Linked DNA regions of Macaca mulatta. The protein of the gene in region 3 binds, or shares a complex with, the protein of the main gene of each other region. Links are inferred from orthologs where the notes say so. Each region holds a gene or a part of one and is shown on either strand. Other genes may lie near its edges. The genes, in order: TRPV3, PTEN and SNTG1.

The links.
Region 1: the proteins of SNTG1 (region 3) and TRPV3 are in contact, whole or in part, in a crystal structure (PDB 7QQN), measured with the Homo sapiens proteins. The link is inferred for Macaca mulatta from reciprocal best matches to the Homo sapiens genes SNTG1 and TRPV3. Residues at the interface, in NP_001274742.1 of Homo sapiens: Arg62, Gly66, Gly67, Phe68, Gly69, Leu70, Ser71, Ile72, Lys73, Gly74, His78, Ser85, Lys86, His118, Glu119, Val122, Arg126; in NP_659505.1 of Homo sapiens: Pro786, Glu787, Thr788, Ser789, Val790.
Region 2: the proteins of SNTG1 (region 3) and PTEN are in contact, whole or in part, in a crystal structure (PDB 7PC7), measured with the Homo sapiens proteins. The link is inferred for Macaca mulatta from reciprocal best matches to the Homo sapiens genes SNTG1 and PTEN. Residues at the interface, in NP_001274742.1 of Homo sapiens: Gly67, Phe68, Gly69, Leu70, Ser71, Ile72, Lys73, Gly74, Glu77, His78, Ser85, Lys86, Ile87, Ser88, His118, Val122, Leu125, Arg126; in NP_000305.3 of Homo sapiens: Asp395, Gln396, His397, Thr398, Gln399, Ile400, Thr401, Lys402, Val403.

Annotation. Positions count from the first base shown.
Region 1 is NC_133421.1:5,011,302-5,018,676, reverse strand, and holds part of TRPV3 (transient receptor potential cation channel subfamily V member 3), read left to right. Parts: intron 1-983; exon of another isoform or gene 984-2,069; coding exon 2,070-2,350; exon of another isoform or gene 2,351-3,189; intron 3,190-4,257; exon of another isoform or gene 4,258-4,608; intron 4,609-4,762; coding exon 4,763-4,939; intron 4,940-5,963; coding exon 5,964-6,122; intron 6,123-6,827; coding exon 6,828-6,929; intron 6,930-7,375. UniProt on the Homo sapiens protein: Non-selective calcium permeant cation channel. It is activated by innocuous (warm) temperatures and shows an increased response at noxious temperatures greater than 39 degrees Celsius. Activation exhibits an outward rectification.
Region 2 is NC_133414.1:100,005,177-100,012,551, forward strand, and holds part of PTEN (phosphatidylinositol 3,4,5-trisphosphate 3-phosphatase and dual-specificity protein phosphatase PTEN), read left to right. Parts: intron 1-1,553; coding exon 1,554-1,597; intron 1,598-3,508; coding exon 3,509-3,747; intron 3,748-7,375. UniProt on the Homo sapiens protein: Dual-specificity protein phosphatase, dephosphorylating tyrosine-, serine- and threonine-phosphorylated proteins.
Region 3 is NC_133413.1:60,456,982-60,465,050, reverse strand, and holds the start of SNTG1 (gamma-1-syntrophin), read right to left. Parts: upstream 5,412-8,069; 5' UTR 4,594-5,411; intron 1-4,593. UniProt on the Homo sapiens protein: Adapter protein that binds to and probably organizes the subcellular localization of a variety of proteins. May link various receptors to the actin cytoskeleton and the dystrophin glycoprotein complex.

The DNA.
Region 1 (7,375 bases), on a different chromosome or scaffold from region 3:
TGGGAGGAGGTGTTTGGGGAGGAGTCCATGTTCCGGGGTGTCATCTGGTGGTCTTAGAAGCATCGTCCTGGGCAGCCCTCTGAGGGAACAGAGACCTGGGAGGGAGTCTGAGGAGGGAGCCCCATTTTACAGGTGAGGAGAAGGCTCTGTGAAGGGAAAGGACTTGCCCCAGGGTAGCAGGGCATTGACTTAGATGTCCTGGCCTCCAGCTCTGACCTCTGTGCCTGGGCCCAGTGCTTCTCAGGACTGCAGAGAGGTAGTCAAGAGTGAGAGGGCAGAGTTCCCCTGCCTGACAAGTCACAGAGTCCAGAAGCGACTGGGGTTAGGATGCTCTAGGAAAAAAAAAAAATGATATGCATAATTTGGATAGAGTGTAAGTCACCCGTTTTAGAGGACAGTTCTGTTCATTTTCACAATGCGTCCTCGAGTTGGTTAACCACCACTGCAATCAGGACAGGGAACAAATGGCTCCCTCACACTCAAAAATTTCTCTGTGCAACTTTGTTGCAGAGGAGACCCCTCCTCCCACCCAGTCTTGCCTGACTGATGATCACCCATCTGTTTTCTCTTCTGGGTGGTTTTTTTTTTTTTTTGAGATGGAGTCTCACTCTGTTGCCCAGGCTGCTGGAGCACAGTGGCACCATCTTGGCTCACTGCAACCTCTGCCTCCTGGGTTCAAGCGATTCTCATGCCTCAGCCTCCTGAGCAGCTGGGATTACCTTCTGGGTGGTTTTTTTGATCAGCAGGACTAGCTAGTCTGCGCTCTGGGCAGCCCTGGATGTCCAGGTGTGGGTGTCCTGGAAAACAGGGTCTTGTCCAGTTCATAGTGTGCCCTCATTGTCCTGCATAGGACCTGGTTGGAGCTGGTGTTGAGAAGCATTTGTTGGGTGGGGTGAGGAGAGGGGAGGCAGCTGAAGACCTGGTGTCCAGGACTGGTCGTGTCCCAGGCTTGCTGTGTGACCTCATGTGAGTCACTTGCCTTATTTGTTCTTAACAAGCATTTATTGAGCACTTACTATCTACATCAGGTACTGTTCTAGGTATTTGAAATATATCACTGAACAAAACAGAAATCCTTGCCCTCATGGAGCTTACATTCTAGACAGGGAGAGACCATCGGTAACAAGCATTATAAATAAGCATTTTATATAGTATGATGCAAAATGTTAAGTGCTCTTAAAAAATACAAAGTGGACCGGGTGCCGTGACTCACACCTGTAATCCCAGCACTTTGGGAGGCCGAGGCAGGTAGATCACGAGGTCAGGAGTTCAAGACTATCCTGGCCAACGTGGGGAAGCCCCGTCTCTACTAAAAATACAAAAAGTAGCCGGGCGTGGTGGTGCACGCCTGTAGTCCCAGCTACTCGGGAGGCTGAGGCAGGAGAATTGCTTGAACCCAGGAGGTGGAGGTTGCAGTGAGGCGAGATCGCACCACTGCACTCCAGCCTGGTGACATAGTAGGACTCTGTCTCAAAAAAAAAAAAAAAAAAAAAAAAAAAAAAAAAAAGTAAAGCAGAGGACAAGGAATGAGGAGTTCTGTCTGGGGCAAGAGGAGGGTGGATTTTAATTTTAAACAGTGTTTAGGGTGGCTCATTGAAAGGTGATGTTTGAGCAAGGACGTGAAGGAGGTGAGGGAGTGAGTGACTCGACTATCTACAGGCAGAGGGGATAGACGAGCGAAGGACCCGGGGCCTCCTGTTGGAGGAGGTGGAAGAAGGCCATTGTGGCCGGAGGGAGTGAGTGATGGGGAGAGGAGGTCAGAGGATGCAGGGCTTAGTGGGCTGCCGTTGGAACCTGAGCTTTCATTCTGGGAGAGGCACTAGCAGATTGATCTGGCTGCTGTGCTGAGCAGAGTATTAAAAGGCCAGGGTGGAGACAGGGAGGCCAGTTAGGAGGGTACTGCCGTGATCTAGCTTCACTCTTCCCCATAGAAGCGGAAGATGGGGAGAGGGCCAGGGAACCTGAGTTGCCAGTCCTGCTGAGATAGGATATGGGCCCCAGTCCTGGGTCTTGGGGGACGCTGCTTCCGGCCCATGAGAGAACCAAGCTTCAATGTGCTCACCCGCCAGGTGAGACGCCCCTGGCCCTGGCAGCCTGCACCAACCAGCCCGAGATTGTGCAGCTGCTGATGGACCACGAGCAGACGGACATCACCTCGCAGGACTCGCGGGGCAACAACATCCTCCACGCCCTGGTGACCGTGGCCGAGGACTTCAAGACGCAGAACGACTTTGTGAAGCGCATGTATGACATGATTCTACTGCGGAGTGGCAACTGGGAGCTGGAGACCACTCGCAACAACGATGGCCTCACGCCGCTGCAGCTGGCCGCCAAGATGGGCAAGGCCGAGGTGGGGCCATGGGGCATGGGGAAGCGGGAGGTCGGGAGGTCAGGAGGCACAGCTGCCACTCTCTCAGCGCCGGGGGCCCTATCGGGGATTCAGAGACCACAGCCTCAGCCTTGAGAAGGTCCCAGACTTAGGTCCAGAAATGCAGTGGCGTGGCGGCCCGAGGTGGGTTTGTTCTGAGGGGCCACGCGGAGCTGGTGAGATGCAGCCCACTCTCTAGACTTCAGTCCCTAATACGCCGCGTTTCCATCTCTTGTCCTTAGGCTGGGGGAGTCTGAGGCTGAGGTGACACAGAAGCCCCAGCAGGGCTGAGTGGGTGGCCCTTGGGGCCTTCTGCCTCTCACGGGGACGGGAGTTCCAGAATGGCTGCTCTGGGCCCAGAGCTAATATGCTGCCATCTCCCAGTCATGGAGAGACTCCAGCCTGTTTGTCCGGCTGGAACTCTGTGCCGTGTCCCCAGCCGAGAGTGTGGCTGCTTTGGGCCCTTCTTGCCTTGTGTGATGTGGCTGAGATAACCGAGGCTTAGCTGGGAGCCTTGGTGAAGACTTGAGCAGGGCTGGGCTCGGATCTCTTTCAGGGGCCGGTGTCATGGCTTGGTCTGAGACGTTCTTAGGGGACGGATTCTGGGGTCTAAGTGTGTTCCTCAGCCTCACTGTCTCACTCCTCTGCGAGGAGGCTGTGGCTCCTGGGACGCCACCAGAGGACACTGGGGGGTGGTGGCTGTTAAGTAATTGCAGCTGTGCCAGCCTCAGGGTACCCGCCTCCCTGGTTAGCTGCCCCGAGGGCCTTGGTCCTGTCCCAAGTAGTCAGGCCTGGGGCCCACAAGGGGCCTTTTGATTCGCCTGTGGGGGAGGAGGAGATGGAGAACTGCTTCAACAGAGGAGGAATTGTGTGTCTGCCTCCCCGCAGCTCCTGCCTACCCTCAGGGTCACAGCTTGCTGGGGCTTTGAAGAGTCAGCTTGTGGTTGCAGAAGGAGCCTTCTCCAAGGCCATCTTCCCTGTGTGCCACTGTGGCGGGTGCTGTCCCTGCCACCCCAGCCCGGGGAGGAGGCTTCCTGCATGGAGCATGGCCCCAGGACCCCCTTGTTTTCTAGGGGACAGTGTGCCCGCTGTGGCTGGCCTGGGGGAGGCACCTGTCCCCCGCATCCCTCCTCTGTTCCGTGTCCTCCAAAAAACTTTCCTGGATGCTACCCAGGTTGGCCACCGTCCTGGGGCTTTTATAGGCTGGGGTGCGGGACGGAGAGACCTGGCCTTATCCCTAGAAGCTCTCTGCCTGGGCCCTCATGACAGATGGGATGGGAACCCACGGGGCCTTGTGAGGCCAGATCTCTGACACTGTCCTTCCCAACAGTCCCTTCCTCTTGGGTCTTGAGTTGGTGCCCTAGGAAGCCCATGTCTCATCCGGGGGTAACCCAGGGCTCAGCTTTTTGGAAGTAGGAGCCAGAGACAGCGGCTCTGCATCCAGCCTGCACTTTGGAACTAGCCAGGAAGCTTCTCCTGGGTCCCACCCTGGAGATTTTGATTTCATTAGTTGATGCTGTGGGAATTTTTTTTTTTTTTTGAGACTAGACTCTCACTTCATCGCCCAGGCTGGAGTGCAGTGGCACAGTCTTGGCTCACGGCAACCTCCGCCTCCCAGGTTCAAGCGACTCTCCTGCCTCAGCCTCCTGAGTAGCTGGGATTACAGGCATGCACCCCCACGCCCGGCTGATTTTTGTATTTTTAGTAGAGATGGGGTTTCACCACGTTGGCCAGGCTGGTCTCAATTCCTGACCTCGAATGACCCGCCCCTCCTTGGCTTCCCAAAGTGCTGGGATTACAGGCGTGAGCCACTGCACCTGGCCCATGCTGTGGGAATTTCTAAGTTTCCCAGCGACCCCAACATGCAACAGAGTTTGAGGATCACTGACCTACCGAAGTCCCGCGGGCCTCCCTGTGGGGCGTGGCGTTTCTCGTCACCAGCTGTCTGGCCAGAGCAGTGAGCCACAGCTGGAAGGGTCTTGGCTTACGGTGAGCTGGGGACACTGAGAACACTTCTGGCTTCTTCTCAAGTCCAGAGCAAACGGAAACTGTTTCTAAAAAATCATCAGTGCCTGGAGTTTTCACTGAACTGGGGCCCCAGCTGGCGTGAGGCGTTTCAAGCCGATTGTGCAGCTTGCTGCAGCCTGTGAAGAACCTTCACACCTTTTGTCCCCGGTGTTCACATCCCCCAGTGAGATGGGCAGAACAGCAAGCTGTGTGCACATTCCGCAGATAAAGACGGGGCCCAGGGGCCGTCGTGCCAGGCGCAGAGGCAGGTCTCCACCCATCCTGGGCGGGAGTATCTCCTGGGCCCAGCCCACCTCTGGCTGGTCCAGCCCTGTTGGCCTCAAGCCCCTGTTCTGCAGCTGACAGTTGTTCCTCGTCTTGTCCCAGATCCTGAAGTACATCCTCAGTCGTGAGATCAAGGAGAAGCGGCTCCGGAGCCTGTCCAGGAAGTTCACTGACTGGGCATACGGACCCGTGTCGTCCTCCCTCTACGACCTCACCAACGTGGACACCACCACGGACAACTCCGTGCTGGAAATCACCGTCTACAACACCAACATCGACGTGGGTCTTCTGAGCAGGCAGGGAAGGGCAGGGAACAGAGGGCTGGACCTCAGGCCAGGGGCTCCGAGGACGCTGGGAAGACCCAGTGCTGCCAGCTCCACCGCCCCGTGTCTGCATCCCCCACTCTGCTGCCTCAGTGGGCAGATTCAGGCACAGAAAGGGCGAGGCCTGGGACAGATGCTGGGCCCGCCTCTTCCTGGTTGACCTTGGACTGTAGACCTGAGTGGTGGTGGTGGGGGCAGGTGGGGGTCTTCCGGTCCCAGTATCCGGGGCTGTTTGGGTGTGGGTGTGGGTGACAGGGTGGTTGGGGTTGATCCTTTCCATATTGTTTCTCTCCCACCCCCCTGTTGGTGTATATGGTCAGGCTTAGAATTCTTTCTTCCCCAAAACCTGGTCCCAAATGAGGGTCAGAGGGTGCGCTGAGAAGCAATCAGGGAGGCCTTCCTGGAGGAGGCTGGAGGGGAGCGTTTGGTGCCACCGAAGGTGAAGAGAGGAGCAGCTACGAGAGGCGTTCAGCTCTTGGGGGAAGTGAGGCAGCAGGCTGGGTCTTCCTCCTCCATACTTTACCGAGAGTCATGCTTCCCAGAGTCTCCTTGCCTTGGGTCTTCCCAGACCCTCACGGCAGCCTGGTTGGTAGGACAGGGATTGTTAGGAGTTTTATAGGTGAGGAGTCTGAGGCCCAGAGAGAGTCAGGGGCTGTCCTAAGGTCACACAGCAAAGGAGGGGCAAACTGGGGCTGGAACCCCTGTCACTACCTCCTGCCCGCTTCTATCCTCCACTTTCTGCTGTGCATCGAGTCCTCAAGCCCAGGCTCCTGCGGCCTCTGAGTACTGCCCGAGTACCGTGGGAGGAGCCTCAGGAGCCGGAAATCGCCCTCCCAGCATTTCCAGCCAAACCAGTCCACTGGGCATAATGATGGACCCCGGCAGAAGGGGCACTGCCTCAGAGCTCCCACAGGCCTTTAGCAAACGGTCGCTCCTTCTGTCCCTCATCTCCATGGTGACTGGTGGCATTCTACCCCTAGAACCGGCATGAGATGCTGACCCTGGAGCCACTGCACACGCTGCTGCGGATGAAGTGGAAGAAATTTGCCAAGTACATGTTCTTTCTGTCCTTCTGCTTTTATTTCTTCTACAACATCACCCTGACCCTCGTCTCGTACTACCGCCCCCGGGAGGAGGAGGTACGTGGGCCCCGTGGAGGGGAGAAATGGGGCGGTCAGAGCTGGCGGGGCTTGGAGCTGCCCCACGTGCAGGTGGGAAAACTGAGGCCCAGAGAGGCCAGGAGATTTGGGTGGGGTCCCCAGTTGTCCTTCACATTTTCTAGGGAACTGAGTAAGTCTTCGGTGCTTAGTTGGGCTAAACCCTAGGTGCTGAGTTCCAGGCAGACCCATGTTGGGGGGGAAAGTTGGAGAATTCGGAGACTCAGGCCCTGCCCAGGGTCTCTGTCAAAATACAGAACTGACTGGGTGTCTCTGCTGTGAGGGCTGCAGGAAATGGGAGGACGATAAGCTCTCCCTGCCTGCCGGGCCTCGGCTTCCCATGCGTCACGTGGGGCACGGAGCCTCGGCTTTATTGAATGGTGCGGTGAGGCCGTGTTGAGTGTCTGGATATGAATGGGTTCTGGAAAGGCTATTGCAATGGAGTGTGAGGGTTGTTAGCACCGATTGGCTGATACTTGTCGTTGTAGAGTTATGGGTTTCCATCAAGGGTGGGGAGGGTGGGGTCAGGGAGCTGCTCCTCCTTTTCTCGCTCTGTACAGAGATCGGGTTTCGTGCTGGCCTCCGGCCTGGCTTGAGTGTTTTATCTGTGTGTTGGTCCCTGTAGAGTTGGTGCCAGCCCGGTCCACCTTACTCCCTGTTCCGACCACCCCTCTGCTATCCCCCCAGGCCCTCCCGCACCCCTTGGCCCTGACGCACAAGATGGGGTGGCTGCAGCTCCTCGGGAGGATGTTCGTACTCATCTGGGCCACGTGCATCTCCGTGAAAGAGGTGAGTGGGTCACTCGGCCCCTCCAGACCACCCCGCGAGGCAGGCAGGTGATAGCAGGCCTGGCCTCCATCCCTGTCTGCTCTGCCGTTACTGCTGGGGGGCTTCAGGGAGGCGTTTCCTTCCCAAGCCTTAGCTTTCTGAGTTATAAATTGGGAAAAAATGGATAAGACTGGCCTATCCTACCTACTTCATTCATCTACTTCCCTATCCATCTGCCCAGCTATCCACCGTGTATCTACCTTCCCAGCCACTCAGTGTCCCTTGTCCTCTTCCACCCCCATCCACCCATCCGATCACCTGCCCTCTTTCATGGACTCAGCCACTCATTCATCCATTCACATGCCCGCTTATCCTTACCAACCATCCTTCTATCCTTTATCCAACCATCTTTCCATCTCTCCATCCATCCTTCCATCTGTCCATCCATCCATCCATCCATGCATCCT
Region 2 (7,375 bases), on a different chromosome or scaffold from region 3:
AGAAACTATATAGATGTTTTCAGGGTTTCTAAATGTACAATACAGGTTCACAATCACTTATTTGAAACTCTTGGGGCCAGGAGTGTTTCCATTTTCAGAAATTTTAGTTTTCAAAAGGTAACACAGATGCGTATACTTTTACATAAACACCCCAGTGGGATGTGGGTCAATACCTGAAATGAAATGTTTCACTCTTCACTCTAAGTGTATTAAAGATTATATACAGTCTTATTACTTCAGATCAGGATTTGCTGTAGTTGAGTTTGCCATAAAACTTAAGAGAAAGTGTTAGATGTTTTGAACTTTTGGGATATTGAAATTGCAGGTTAAGGATCTATGGACCTTTATTTGTTTTAAAATGCTAAGATTTTATTTTAAATAATTTTTTAAAAAATTGTTTTGCATAGTAGTTGGAGTTACCAGGCTACTGCTAGCCACACTGATACATAAGATCTCTTTCTGAGCCTTGTATTGTTTGTAAACATGGGCTGTTAATTATTAGAAAGCCAGTACATACTAACGAATATATCACTGCTATTAAGACAAATATTAGCATACTCTAGTAATGACAAGTCAGCATTTTACTATTCTGTATTGCTTTTGCTTATTCTTTCGTTACTCTCATACTGTAATTAAAACTTGCAACCTGAGAGACTGTTGTAAAAGGTGACCATTGGCTTTTCAACAGGGAGAAAGGTCTGTTTTAAAAAAAATTGGTGGCCGGGCGTTGGCTCAAGCCTGTAATCCCAGCACTTTGGGAGGCCAAGACGGGCGGATCACGAGGTCAGGAGATCGAGACCATCCTGGCTAACATGGTGAAACCCCGTCTCTACTAAAAAATACAAAAAAACTAGCCGGGTGCGGTGGCGGGCACCTGTAGTCCCAGCTACTCGGGAGGCTGAGGCAGGAGAATGGCGTAAACCCGGGAGGCGGAGCTTGCAGTGACCTGAGATCTGGCCACTGCACTCCAGCCTGGGCGACAGAGCAAGACTCCGTCTCAAAAAAAAAAAAAAAGAAAAAGAAAAAAAAAATTGGTAAGCATTGTGTCCAAGTAGATTAACATCATTCAGTTTTTCTTTACTGTCCTTATGCTTTTATTATTTTTAACATATATCTTTTTGAAGAATAGTTTGAGAATTATGTATGCTTAAATATGAGATACAGATACTATTGAAACTAGCCAGTTGTTTATAGGTACTTGTAAAAAAAAAAAAAAATTCCAATAGCATGCAAATTTTTCATAGAGGAAATTTGAAAGCATGGAAGCACCTGAATTTGCAGTACTCTATAGTAGTGACATCACAAGTTTTGTAAGCAAATTTATTAGCTCTAATTGCATACACTTAATCTTTTAAGCTTTGGTTTTATTATTATAATATGGGGGTGATAATAGTATCTACGTAATAGAATTCTTATTACATGAAATAATTAATGTTAAACAGCATAATATGTGTCACATTATAAAGATTCAGGCAATGTTTGTTAATATTAGTACTTTTTTTCTTCCTAAATGCAAAAGATAACTATATATCACTTTTAAACTTTTCTTTTAGTTGTGCTGAAAGACATTATGACACCGCCAAATTTAATTGCAGAGGTAGGTATGAATGTACTGTACTATGCTGTATAACTTAAACCCGATAGACTATATCTTAACTGTCATAATAATGAGTCATCTAGATTATTGAGTGAGATACGTATTTATCTTAAGAAGTATCTTAAAAATTTTCAAAAAATTTAATTTTGCTGTTTTTTAGGAAAAAAGTATTGCATAAAGCTATTAATATTGTCAGGAAGACTGAAGTGCAGAGTAGACTAAGAATTAGGAAAATTCCTAGACTAAAAATAGTATAAGGAGAGGGTTTACCTACTGTTTAAGGCAGTAGGTCTAATAGTAAGCAACTATAGGGAGAAAGCAGAACTACTTAACTCTTCTGTGTTGAGGAATGACATAAAAGGTAGGAAAGGATATAACAAATGTTGATAAGAGAAACCTGATGGATGAGAGGAGGGAATTGCTTTAAATGAGTTCTACTTCAGACATAAGTTAATTCTCAGAGCCCACAAAAACTTTCACTTTTATTTGTGAAATACAGCTCAGTTCTATGACCTAACACTTTAAACCATGAGAGAACTGAAGAGTTGAGAAGCTAGGCAGATGCCGCTGTGATAGTCAAAAAGAGAAAGTGGGTGCCATGAGCTACTATTGATGTATTTGCCATTGATCCCTCCTGAAAATCTAGAATGGACTTTCAGACAGATGGTTTGAAAATTCTAAATCACTCATGATTGAGATTTGGTATAGATTCACTAAGAACGTTTTGTTTTTGTTTTTGGTGGATTTAGGTTGTTGCTTACTAGGCAAAGCAGGCTTTAGTTGAGGTTTATGTTGCTTTAAATAGACATTTAACAGGTTTTCCTGGAGGTTTTTGTGTACCACTGGGAAAATGGAGTTAGGCAGATGACTAAGTGAAAGCTGTCCTTCTGGACTCCCTATAATGATAGTCATTGTCTACCAGAAGAGCTGTCCTGTCACACCAAAGGATAATTGATTGTATCCTGTATCATATTATGAGTGACTTGATTGGAGATATAAGACATACATCTCACATATTTAGGTAACACAGGATAGTACGTTGAGTATCAGTCAGAGTTTTTAAGGATCTTAATAGAGTGGAACTAAGGTAGAAACTATTAAGAACAATTAATAGTGATATATCTATAGTCCTGTTTCTAAACAAGGTTTTTTAAAAACCTCAACTCTGACTATAGTGAACAGAGAAGTCTTGGACTCTTATAATTCATGTGAGAAGACCTGAAACTTTGATAACAATTATATACATTTTGTAAGTAATTTCTTTGGTGTATGCCTTCACATATCTCTGTATGTGACCTATGCTACCAGTCCATTGAGCGTAAATTCCCAGAATGTATTCTCCTGCAGAAAATGGAGGTAAATAGTACTTGGCTTCCCTAATGATTTACATGTGTATACAACACTAATATTTGCAAGACCACCTTTAAATAACACACTTAGCATTTTTATTTTATGAAATGTAATATGCAATTCTTTCTATAGTTTATTAGTAATCTATTCTGTCTTTGGAATATGTTTTGTGATGATGAAATAAATACTATAAATAGTATTCCTTTTGCATTGAGAGTCCTGATGAAATGTCCATGTGACATTTCATTTTGGGTTTAGCTGTACCTCTAATATGTGACCTATGCTGTCAGTCCGTATAGTGTAAATTCCTAGAATATATCCTTCTGAATAAAATGGGGGAAAATAATACTTGCCTTCCTTAATGATTATATTTGAGACTTATCAAGAGACTATTTTCTATTTAAAAATTAGAAAGTTAAGCAATACATTATTTTTCTCTGGAATCTAGTGTTTCTTTTAAATACTTGTTAAGTTTGTATGCAACATTTCTAAAGTTAACCTACTTGTAATTAAAAATTCAGGAGTTTTTTTTCTTATTCTGAGGTTGTCTTTTTACCACAGTTGCACAATATCCTTTTGAAGACCATAACCCACCACAGCTAGAACTGATCAAACCCTTTTGTGAAGATCTTGACCAATGGCTAAGTGAAGATGACAATCATGTTGCAGCAATTCACTGTAAAGCTGGAAAGGGACGAACTGGTGTAATGATTTGTGCATATTTATTACATCGGGGCAAATTTTTAAAGGCACAAGAGGCCCTAGATTTCTATGGGGAAGTAAGGACCAGAGACAAAAAGGTAAGTTATTTTTTGATGTTTTTCCTTTCCTCTTCCTAGATCTGAGAATTTATTGGAAAACAGATACTGGGTGTTTTTTTTTTTTTTCCTTCAGTTTTATTGAGGTGTAATTGACAAGTAAAAATTATATATAAATACAATGTATAATATGATCTTTTGATGTATGTATATATACATTGTGTAATGATCACTACAGTCAAGCTACTTAACATATTCATCACCTCACATAATTATTCTTCTCCCTTCAAGGTGAAAGCATTTAACATCTACAAGCTTCAATTTTCAGTTATACAATGTTATTATTAACTATAGTCACTGTGCTGTCCAGTAGATCTTCAGATCTTGTTCATCTTGTGTCCCTCCCCGCCCCACCATCAGTCCCTGGAAAACAGGTTTTAAAAATAGTTGCTAATCCTTATTTCTTCTAAATTTTTAAATCAGTTGCTGCCTCAATTTCTATATGAGAAATGACTGATTTCATTTTTCTGTTCATGCTACCATTTTCATATCATACTAGCACATGTTACCCATTAACTGTATTGCAGATTTGGTCTCATAAAATTCTTTTAAAATAACATTTTTAAAAAGCTATCAAAAATAAGCTTATATTTCTGAAGCTTATTTGAGCATAGAATGGCTTTGGATAAAATACCATTACCTAGTAAAGTGTGAACTTTTATAATACATAAAAATTATTCTTTTATAAGAATATTCATAAATGTAGTTAGATTAATAGAAGATTCTTGATTCTTTGATCGGAAAACTAAGGACTATATTGAAAAATCAGTGATAAATTTAATACTTATAGTACATCTGAAAGCAAAAAGAAAACTCTTGGGATAACTTTTACAGTGATTTAATTTTGCTGTTGATGTATTTCTTTGGGTGGTAAGTATGGCAAAACATGTTAAAATTTAATACAAAGAGATTTTGTTCATTTTTCCATCTCTAAAGGGACAAAGCCTAAGCCCCTCCAGACAGATAGAAAAACTCATTTAGAGAGTTCCCCTTCATGTTAAGCTAATTTCTTCTTAATTCAACTGTAAAACAGAAATAGAATGATCATATTAATCATTTAAAGCTGTGTAGTTGCATTGATTCCTTGTTCCTTTACCCCTCTCTCATGTCTTGTTTCCTTACCTTTGTGACTTTTTTTGCATTATGTATAAGGATGCCAAAGTACTATTTATTGTTGATAGTTTACAAAATTGAATCTTACATTAGTGCATAATTTTGGTGAATGTTGAAGTTTATGGTAGATTGCCTTACATTTCTGCATATTGTTTGCACCTTGGAATGATAGCACTGGCATAAATTATAGAGCTGAGGATCTAAAGATTTTGACTTTGATTTATCCCATTATTATCTGCAGGGAAACAGTTGCTTTTACTGATTAAAAATATAGGCCAGCCGCAGCGGCTCACGCCTGTAATCCCAGCACTTTGGGAGGCCAAGGCGGGCGAATCACAAGGTCAAGAGATCAAGACCATCCTGGCCAACATGGTGAAACCTCGTCTCTACTAAAAATACAAAACTTAGCTGGGTGTGGTGGCGCGCACCTGTAGTCCCAGCTACTCAGGATGCTGTGGCAGGAGAATCGCTTGAATCCAAGAGGCAGAGGTTGCAGTTAGCTGAGACCATGCCACTGCACTCCAGCCTGGTGACAGAGCGAGACTCCATCTCAAAAAAAAAATTAAAATGCAGTAGCAAAAGCGATGGTAGAAATTTAAAACCGAGTTGATGAGCAGCAGATAACTTGGTAGTGGGAAAAAAGTCAGGTAAAACAATTTTTGTAATAAAATAGAAAGATTTTGTAATGTGGAGGCACAGAACACTAGATTTAAGCCAGGGGGTCTTAAGTTGTGTTACATACCTTTTAAAAGTCTGATGGAAGGTATAAATGTTCTCCCACCAAAAAATGTACATAGTGTACATAAAATTTTGCACATAGTTTTTATTACATTGAAATATATTATTTTAAACAGAATGTAAAAGAACCTTCATGAAAACTATGTCACTTTTTTTAATGCAAAAACCAGTGGCCACTACCTGAGAGCAGTGAATAAATCTAAGTGGTACAAATTAACCAAAATTAAGCTTTAGTTCTGTTCAATACGAAATTTTAATGAAAAAACTGCTATTTAACTTTTAAAATAACAAGTTGAAACTATGCTCTTTGACTTTGCAACTTTTATATCCAATCTTTGATATCCAATCAGTGTTGACTTTGGTAAAAAGTGCTGAAAATGCTATTTTACAAAAGAAAAAAGAGTAAATGGAATCTGAAGATTCTCTTGCCTGATGAAAGTAGACTTGTCAAGAAATAAGACTTCTCCAAGACTTGAGATAAATTCATGTTGCATCATTTTCTTTGCCTTCAAGTTACTGAGATCATTTTTGGCAAGATCTGTAACATTAATAGTGTGTTAGGAAGGAAAAGATTATGACTCCATATTTTACTTTCAAGGTTGAAGAGTTAAACTCTTTAAAAAGAGTGTATTTTACCCTGTAAACAACAGTATCAGGCTGTAGAATTTGTCTTCTGAAAGCAGTGAACTTACATATAGCAGAGAACTTCATAGAACTCCCATTTCTTGACAAAACCTCTCAAGAAGCTCTTGATTGAAAGTCTTGGCTTTCATGAATCTGGCAACTTTCACAATAGTAGATTTTTCATGACAAATCCTCTTACACAGGCGATTATTCAAGGGTTGGCACTTGAAACAGTAGAATACTTTCACAACAAGAGATAAGATTTCTTTCAGAATTGATGACAGTCTTGCACCCTAGTGCGTACTGATGAAGAAAGCAGTGGGTGACCATGACATGGAGAGCTGCTGTCTTTACCAGTGCCACAATATCAGATGTGTTCTCTGGCAGTAAGGTGTACTATCTGCCTACAGTATACTGAGGTTTCTTCAGGAGAAGTTTTGTGGTAAAGAAACTTCACTATTTTGAAAGTGTTAATGTTTTCTGAAGTTTCCAAAAAGGATTCCAAAATGGGAATGTTTCCTTGATTGTGTCACCTTGCTTGCATTTGATGAAAACTAGTAGCCGGCTATACTGAGAAATCATATCTGAAGAAAAGTGGTACTTCCAATCTTTTTGTGACCTACTTTATTATTATTTTTTTAATGTCAGGTTTTTTTTGGAATGGATAAGAGTATTTGATAGAAGTATTTGCAACAGTCTTACTCTTCTTCATGCTACAAGTATGTTTGACTCTTTCTAAGATACTTGCCGTCACCGTTCAACTGTGTGACATTTTTATTTGTTTAGCATTATAGTCAATAGCCTAGTAGATGATTTAATCAGGAGTTTTAATTGGAACAAATAGTTTTTGTAATGGTCTAGACTTTCCAACTAACTGTGCTCTCACATGTGGTCTCTTTTTCTCCCTCTTTTCTCTCTCTTACACACTCCCAGCCACACACATATGCATACATACCCTGTCTGATGTAGCTGCTTCTTCAGAATATTTGGCTGTGCTCTGCTGATGGTGAGAACTTGCCATTTAAGAAGGACTTGGGACAGTCCATCTCATCATGTTCAGGGATAAAAGTAAAACCCAAGGATACTTAAACTTTATTGTATTTTATTTTCTGTTTCCAGTCCAAATTAAATCCAA
Region 3 (8,069 bases):
GTTTTATATAAGTAACACATTATTATTAAAATTTTAGCACCATTTCTAAAAGATTTCAATTTTTCGTTAGGTTATTTAGTGAATTCACCAGGCAAACACTTATTCTTTTAAAAAACTAAATCTTAAACTGAAATTGTGAGTAAATTTGTTAAACATAGAGCATATAATTACTTCACAATTTTTAATTTTAAAAATGTTTTCGAGTATGTACATTACATATGATGAAGTGATAATTACCAAGTATTCAAATGAATTGATTGAACGATACGTTTTTGAAAAAAAATAACATGATCACTTTAACTTTGCTGACAAATTGAAGAACAAATTCAGGAGACCCAAAATGATTTTCTGACTCTTTCAGTGAGTACAATGTGCTGAAGAAACTTCACAGTGACAATTTAAGGATAATTCAAAGGTAAATTATCTGGCCTCAAGACATTATTTTAATGACCTCTTACTCTTGATTCTTCTTCATTTTATTTTTTCGACCGTTTTTGGGTTTTTTTTGTGTGTGTGTTTGACAAAAAACAAAAAATCTGAATTACATTACTGAGTAAGTGATGATATAATTTTTTTTCTCTGGTGCAATCATATAATTTAACCACAGAACAATGCTGGAAATAACTGTAGCACCAAATATTGACTTACATTTCTTAAGCATACTATCAGTATATTTTTGTTGATAGTCTAGAAATCTATACAGACCAAATGTTGATAAATTACATTGAAAAAATCATAATGACTTTTAAAACCCCAATTAAGAAAAGCAAATAAGCAAGGAAATATTGCTTATTTGGTTTTCTAAAGAGATTTCCTAAAGAGGCCTATGAATAGAATCTAGGCTTTGGACTAAATCAAGACAGCATCTTAACAGCATTTCCAGGCTAGCCCCTTAGATCAGCCCTCATGTTGTCCACATTTCACTCCATGCTCACAAGCCAGCAGTCAAATCACAATGTTTTCTGGATGTTTTAGGATAGGTAGTTTTGAAGTCTACTTATCCTATGAGTTTTCTTATCAATATCACTAATGGCAAACATTAACACTCCTTTATAAACCAGAAAATTATGGCACAAAGTGATAGATTCTTTGAGGGTCAAAATGAAAGTTGTTGAAATAAACTCAGGTCAACTAGGTTTGTCCAATTGATAAAGAACGTGGTGTCAATTCTGAGTAATAAATATTTTTTAAACTAAGTCCACCTTCATTGAATATCGCTTATATTTATACCATTAAGAGATATAAAGGAAATGACTGCTGAATTATCAGTAAAGTATTATATTCCCCGAGGTGAGAGTTGTTAAATATAAAGGATGTGCCTGGTATATAGTAATTGGTGGGATTTTTTGATGAATGAATGAATGCTATTGGAAATTATTGATAGTAACCCACAGATACAACACTTGTTTCCAAAACACTCTCAAAATCACTGAATTTGGACTTTCCAGTATCCCACAAAGTAGGCATCATTCACTCATCTCATGAGTGTTCACATATCAGCTGTATGTAAACTACTGTGCCTTCATTGAAAGGTAAAGCATCCCCAAATTTAAGGAAGAAAAATTAAGCTGCAGTGAATTGAGTGACTTGTAGAAGATCTTACAGCCAGCAGTTAAAAAATTCTGATCTTTTGACTGTCGGGTAGTACTTGTTTCCCTACAACATGATGTGTAACATGTTTCTTGCTGCAGGATGTTGTCTCTTCCAACACATGCTATGTGCTCACTCTGATAAGCTAAATGGGAAGAAAACACCAAATAAGATGTCTCTCTCCGTTTGAGTTCTATTCTGTAACACACTGTACAGATTTCTGGGAAGGTGAGATGACTACGGAAATAATTTCTAGCTTACAACATGCTTTTTTCTTTCCTAGTGACTTTGGTCTTGCTTGACGGAACTAGGTGAGTAAGCAGGTTAGCCGCCTGGAATTTATAAATCTTTAAGTGGTCAAAAACAGCCAATTACTAAATATTAGCAATAGTCATTTCTTATTTTTATGTTTTTTGATAAATGTTTGAACTTGGTTGAAACCCAAGTAAATAACTCCAAAGGCTTGGAGTTATCTAATTCTCATTAGTTATCTAATGAGAATTAGATATCTAACGGGTAATTCTAATTAGATATCTAATTATCATTAGTTATCTAATGCCCACATTAGATAACATTAGAATCCAATATGATTTCATGGTATTGATAATTACATTAGAATATACAGGTAATATATAAATATTACTATATAGTCCATGCAAAAATTAATCAAGAAAGGGTTTTATAATATTTTGGAAGAAGGCAATTGAATGGACTCCAGGGCTCATTTTAATTATCCTCTGGTCCTATATACACTTTACATTTTCTAGATTATGTAATCCTATCTCACTTTTCCCTTTTGAGTCTCAAATGTAAGCAACAGCCAACAACACTTAGTCTTATCCAATAAAGCTTTTTTTTTTTTTTTTAATGAAGAAGAGATACTGTGTTTGGTACTCCCAAGACCTCATGCATCGTTTTTCTTCAGCAAAACAAAATAACTATCAAATCAAATAGATGCCCTTAGTGGAGTACAGATATCCCTTAATAAAATGCTGATTGATCTTTAAAGACAAGTGATTCTGTGCAATAATGAAGGTTGGTTTCCACTACCTCCTTTTTGTTGGTTTGTTCGACTATCTGCTTTGCAATTAGAGATTAGCATTAGGTAGGCATTAAGTTGCTTTCCCAAACTCTATCTCAGTGTAAGGACATTTCCCTACAGATAAGGATTGACAAGGGCTTCCAAGCACTTTCATGAGTTTGGAGTGAATTAGAGTTAGTATTTCTGTAACTAAATCTCCTAAGGGATTAGGCAAAGGTAACTTTCACTTTCAGAGATTTCAGTTACACATAGAGAAAGTCTGCCCCCTCTGCCCCTGAGGAGGGAACTGCGGCCATATACCCAGAGGAGGAGTGCTTCTGGAAACACATTCTCTGCTTACATTTTATGCCCTATTGACTAGGGGAGTCCCTCGGTGTTAATTAATTGACAACCAAAATAATTGTCTAACAACATGCTGTAACTCTCTTAAAATATGATTAATTCTTCCATGTGATAATTTCACTTCTATACCTCTCCTATTGGAGAAAAAAAGGATTGTGTTAAGAGCACATTGTAGGTTTTCTGGGAAGAAATCCAAATCAATGATACATGTTTCTGCTCCTCAAATAATCATTCTTGACCTATATAGGGCAACAGAGCCCCCAAGGAGCTCAGTGACATAGATGCCTCTGCTCCTTTTCTGCTAAGCAAGCAGGTTCATGGTAAGTGGTGACAGTTAAGAATGATTTTTCCTCAGAGAGTAATTGCTACACTCAGCCAACATAAAACAAGAGGACATCACCCCACCAATGAATGCCACTGTAACGGCCTCCAATGATTTTTGTGTTAAAATTGAGAAGGAAGGTATGTACAGATGTGAAGTAGAGCCATTTTATTATCAGTTACACACAACCAATGAGATTAAAAGTAAAACCTAAAGATCTCCTGTAATTTTTCAAAGGGGTAAACTCTTTTCACAGAGTTGATTATGCATATGTCATCACATGTATTTACATGACTATAAAATTCCATCCTTGCAAGTGGAAACTCTTCACTGAACTGAATGTACTCATTGGAATTGATCAAGTTCTTAATGAAATGTCAGGCACGGGTTATAAATTAGTGTAACTGCTTTTGCCCAGTGAACCCTTTTTATTAAAGCAGAATGCTTATCAAGGTCACTGTGAAAGATTGTAATTTTAAAGCTCCAGGGGAAGACTAGAAATAAGAATCAACAGAAAACAGATTTAATGAGCATTTTAAAGTTTACGGCTTTTCGGAAACCTATTGGCCCCTATCACTTTCTGAATTTCAGTGACAAATGTATTTTACAGAACTAGTAAGTTAGAATGATTTTGAAATCCAGCTCTCCTAAAGAGGCACACTAAAGCTTCTCATTTTCTGCCTTCTGGCAGATCAAGTTTGAGAAAGCAGTCTTGAGCTTTAAAAGGCCAGAAAGAGGGTGCTAAGTAAAAATGTGAGTGTCTCCTTACATAAGATTCTACAGGTGTAGGCATACTTGGGGGTTGGCATGGAGTGAGAAATCTGGTGTGTATGTATACATGTGTTTGTTCCCATGCCTAGTTTGGTATATTGTAACAATACAAAATGTGTTAGAGGGCATGGTTAAACCCTCTCTATTTCAACTTTTTGAGCCTTGCATACTATGTAACACAGACAGGATCACTTTGGGCATACATAAGACAACAAAATTATCTTGGGAAACGTCAGATTGTATTAGCTTTGGAAAAAAATAAACAAGATATGCACAGATCCAAAAAGATATTAAACAAGCAATAAAAAATGGCCAGCTAAAAGTTTGCTGTATTTATGTAAGGCAACATGTATGTTATTTTGATTCTTCTTGTCACACAATGATCCAGAAACAATTATTTTAAAACAAAATTTCTTGTCCCCCCCTTAACCCCAGGAAAAATTACATTGCTTATGTTCTTTCTGTTAAACCATAAGACAAGTCATTAGAATTTTAAAAAAACAAAAATAATAGTGCTATCACTTACCTGCCAAGCAATGAAATTAGATGTCTTTTCAGTTTCTCTAACGTAGAATTTTGAGTAGATCTCCAACCTCTTTTCACAAAGCTATTTCCAAAACAGTTGCAATCCACTCAGGACCATTCTGTTTATTTCAAGAAGTGTGGGCCTTTTAACATTTCGACCCCTACTGCATGGCCCATGATTTCTCAGAGCTTCTAAGAACTTCGACTTTACTCTTCTGCCAGAATTCCTCCCAGGCCCCTATAGAAAAATGATTCTTGAAGTTGCTGCCGAGAGTTTAATCGGTGGAGCAAGAGTACTCCTCAGAGTCCTGTCCTTAGGTACAGCAGGTGTAGAGGGAGGGGTACTTTTCATCCATTAAGGAAGGGGACCGGGAGGCGAGGGAGTAATAGGAGACACCTCCTTTTAGCTGCGAGGAGCAAGGAGCCCAGCTGCCCCTGGCGACGACAGTGGCGGCAAGGAGAGCGGCCTCGGCAGCGTAGTTGCGTTCCTGTGGCTGCAGCCCGGTCCGGAGACGCTGTCCATCCCCTCTGGTGCTGAACTAAGGGGACGAGAGCCCCCAAGCCCAGCTCCCGGTCGCACTTTCCTCCACCAGCGAATCCAAGCAGCAGCTTCCTTCTCTTCCAGCCTAGCCTTCTCCCCTCCGGTGATTTTTTTTTTTTTTTTTTTTTTTTTGGTAGGGGCTAATTGTTTCTACAAAATAACAGTCTCATTCTTATTTGGTGACAACGTTTCCGGAAAAACAGGAATCCGTAGGAAATAACATCTGAGCCTCCCCTGACTTTTCAGTGGCCCTGAACGAGTTTCCTAATGCCAGAAATGAAAGAAAACGCACGCACAGGCGCGCGCACACACACGCACGAGAGAGGCAGAGAGAGACAGAGGGAGAGAGAGAGAAATACAGATTTGTACCGTGGAAAATCCAGAGCTTCTTTGGAAAGCTCATGGACCTCTAATTACATAAGATGAAAAAGGCTATTTTGGAAGACTTCGCAATCTTGATTACCAATTAAGGTGACCACATTCAAATTTTGAGATATCCAATTTGAAATTCCTAAATTAAACCCAGTGAAGATTCTTAGACCCTCCACGGGGAAAAGACAGGATATTGCTAAAATTTTAAAAGACAGAGAATGAAAGAATGAAAAAGACAAGAAAAGGCATCTCCACTCGGCTACCTTTTATAACGCTGCTGAATTGGATCGGGATCGTTGCAGAGCCTCTCAGAGGATCCAGCGAACGCAGCTCCTGTGAGTGTCAGCGCTGGGCTCAGCGAGCAGGGAGCTTGGAGGCCCAGGGCAGTGCAAGCGAGTCTCCCACAGCCTAAGCTCCTGCAGCGGGGCAGAAAGCGGCTTATTTCACAAAGGACTGGATAAAGAAGGCACAAAGTCAGTCAGAGGGCTTGACCATCTCTGCCTTTGTAAAGCCGGAGCAAAGCCCAATTTACCTTTTTTGTTTGTTTGTTTTTGTTTTTGTTTTTTTGTTTTTTGTTTGCTTGGCTTTTCAGCCCATTTTCCCTTCTGGTCTCCCACGCTGCCCCCTCGCCTCCCTACTCCGGAATCCGCGCTCTCCTGGGCCTTGAAGGCTCTTCACTCCCGCTCCAAACAGCCCCCACTTGTGTCTGTTCCACTGCTCTTGGCAACTGGCTGACAACGAGCATAAAGAAGTGTATGGGTTCGTGATCCTGAGTGCTGTCACCCAGGGCTCCGCCACCCACACTCGGCAACGGGTGCAGACGCGAGTGAACTGAGACGGGAAGTTGAAATACATAACGTTGAAACTGTTGGAAAACTGGTCAAAACCAGGGCCATGCGGACCTTTGAAACTATGTAGAGTAAAGGGGGAAGATGGAAAGAGCTGGACTGTAACATCTCCCGCCCTTGCAGGCTCTTGACTTGTGCAGTGCAGATTTCTTTACCAGGAGGTTGTTGATAGACGTGAGAGGAAATTCGAGAAAGGCTGGCGAGGGGCGCTGGTGTGTGTGGTGGGGAAGGGGGTTGGGGAGGGGCGGGGCGCAACACTAATTTCTCCCGGACTGTGGGAAGGGGCCGGACGCCTGCTCCTGGCCTCCCTTCCCCGGCGACTTCTCAGGTTCTTCTTCCTCCTGTTCTTACACTAGAGGGAAGTCCTAGACGTTGTGCTTTCCTCCCACGCTTGCTTCCATTAAGGATTAGAGCGCGTTCCCGCTGGTCTGGAACCATCCATTCCAGGTAGGGGATCTTTCCTCTCGGGGACATTGCGCTCTCCAAGCACCGGTCTGAGGCGCGCGCTGGGGGCGCGCGAGGAGGCGGCACAGCTAATGGAGTTCCAGTGGGCTCCCTGGAGGAGAAACGTTATTGAGCCGGGAATCAGTCGGGACGGAGAACCAAATAGGCCGCGTATTCACTCATAGGAAAAGGCCAGGCTTTGGCTGGACTTTGAGCCATTTTACTGCTGCAGCAATGGCTTTATTTCCCTGGGGTGGCCACCAGCCGCCACCGCGGCTCCGGCTGAAAGAGGCCGCGCTGTGCTCCGCGCATTGCAGGCCGCGGTCGCTGTGTGGAGCTGCACACGCAGGAAACGGTCGCCGTGGAACGAAGCCCTTGGTCAACTTTCTCTAACAGTCTTTTTTAACAGAGGCTCTCTAAAACCGTGTTTGGGGAAGCCGTCAGATCTCACGGAGACACACAAACCTAAAAAAAAGAGTATCTGCTGCTTGAGGTTAATTTTTAAGGGCTCTTTCACTTTTCAGTCCATGTGAAAACAAATTGCTTAAGGTTATGGTAAATGAAGTTTCCTTTTTCCTTAGACAAATGTGATCAAACACGTGCTTATTTTTTTCTGCAGAAACAATACCTGTCCTATGTAGAAATAAGTTTCAGAAAGTGCCCCCTTTTTGTTAGATAAGGAAAACAAACCCCCGTGTGAAGGTTATGCTAATCAGGGCCCTTCCCTCCTTGTCAGCAAAGAGGGTTTTCTCTGCTGTGTTCAATTCTGTGCTTACTTAAGTGGATTTAATTGATTGTTAATTATTTTATCGGGATATATAGAAACATGAATAATCACAGAAAATCAACACACCAAATAAGAGCATTTAAATGAGGCATAGAGTACAAAGATGTTGCTAATTAAAAACACATGCACTTGATTATTCAGACCTAGAAGAGCAGATTCCCTTCTTCCTGATCACCGATTGAGTTTTATGCAGTCTCTCTCAATCTTTCTCTCCCTCTCCCTGTCCTGCCAGTAAAAGAAAACAGAAACAGTTGATTAATTTGAACTGACAGTCCCAGTATGATTATGATAGTTTGATGTCTTTTCTTCAAGAAGCAAAATCCACTTTATATTTTTTCTCATCAAGTTGTGTAACCAGTTATGGAAATCAATATGATGAAAATTAAATACGGCCTAACATCTGATGCGACAAATGAATATAAATGAAGTACAAGATAACAAAACCAAGGGACAAATAAGCTGAGGTGAATTAAAGAATTATGTTA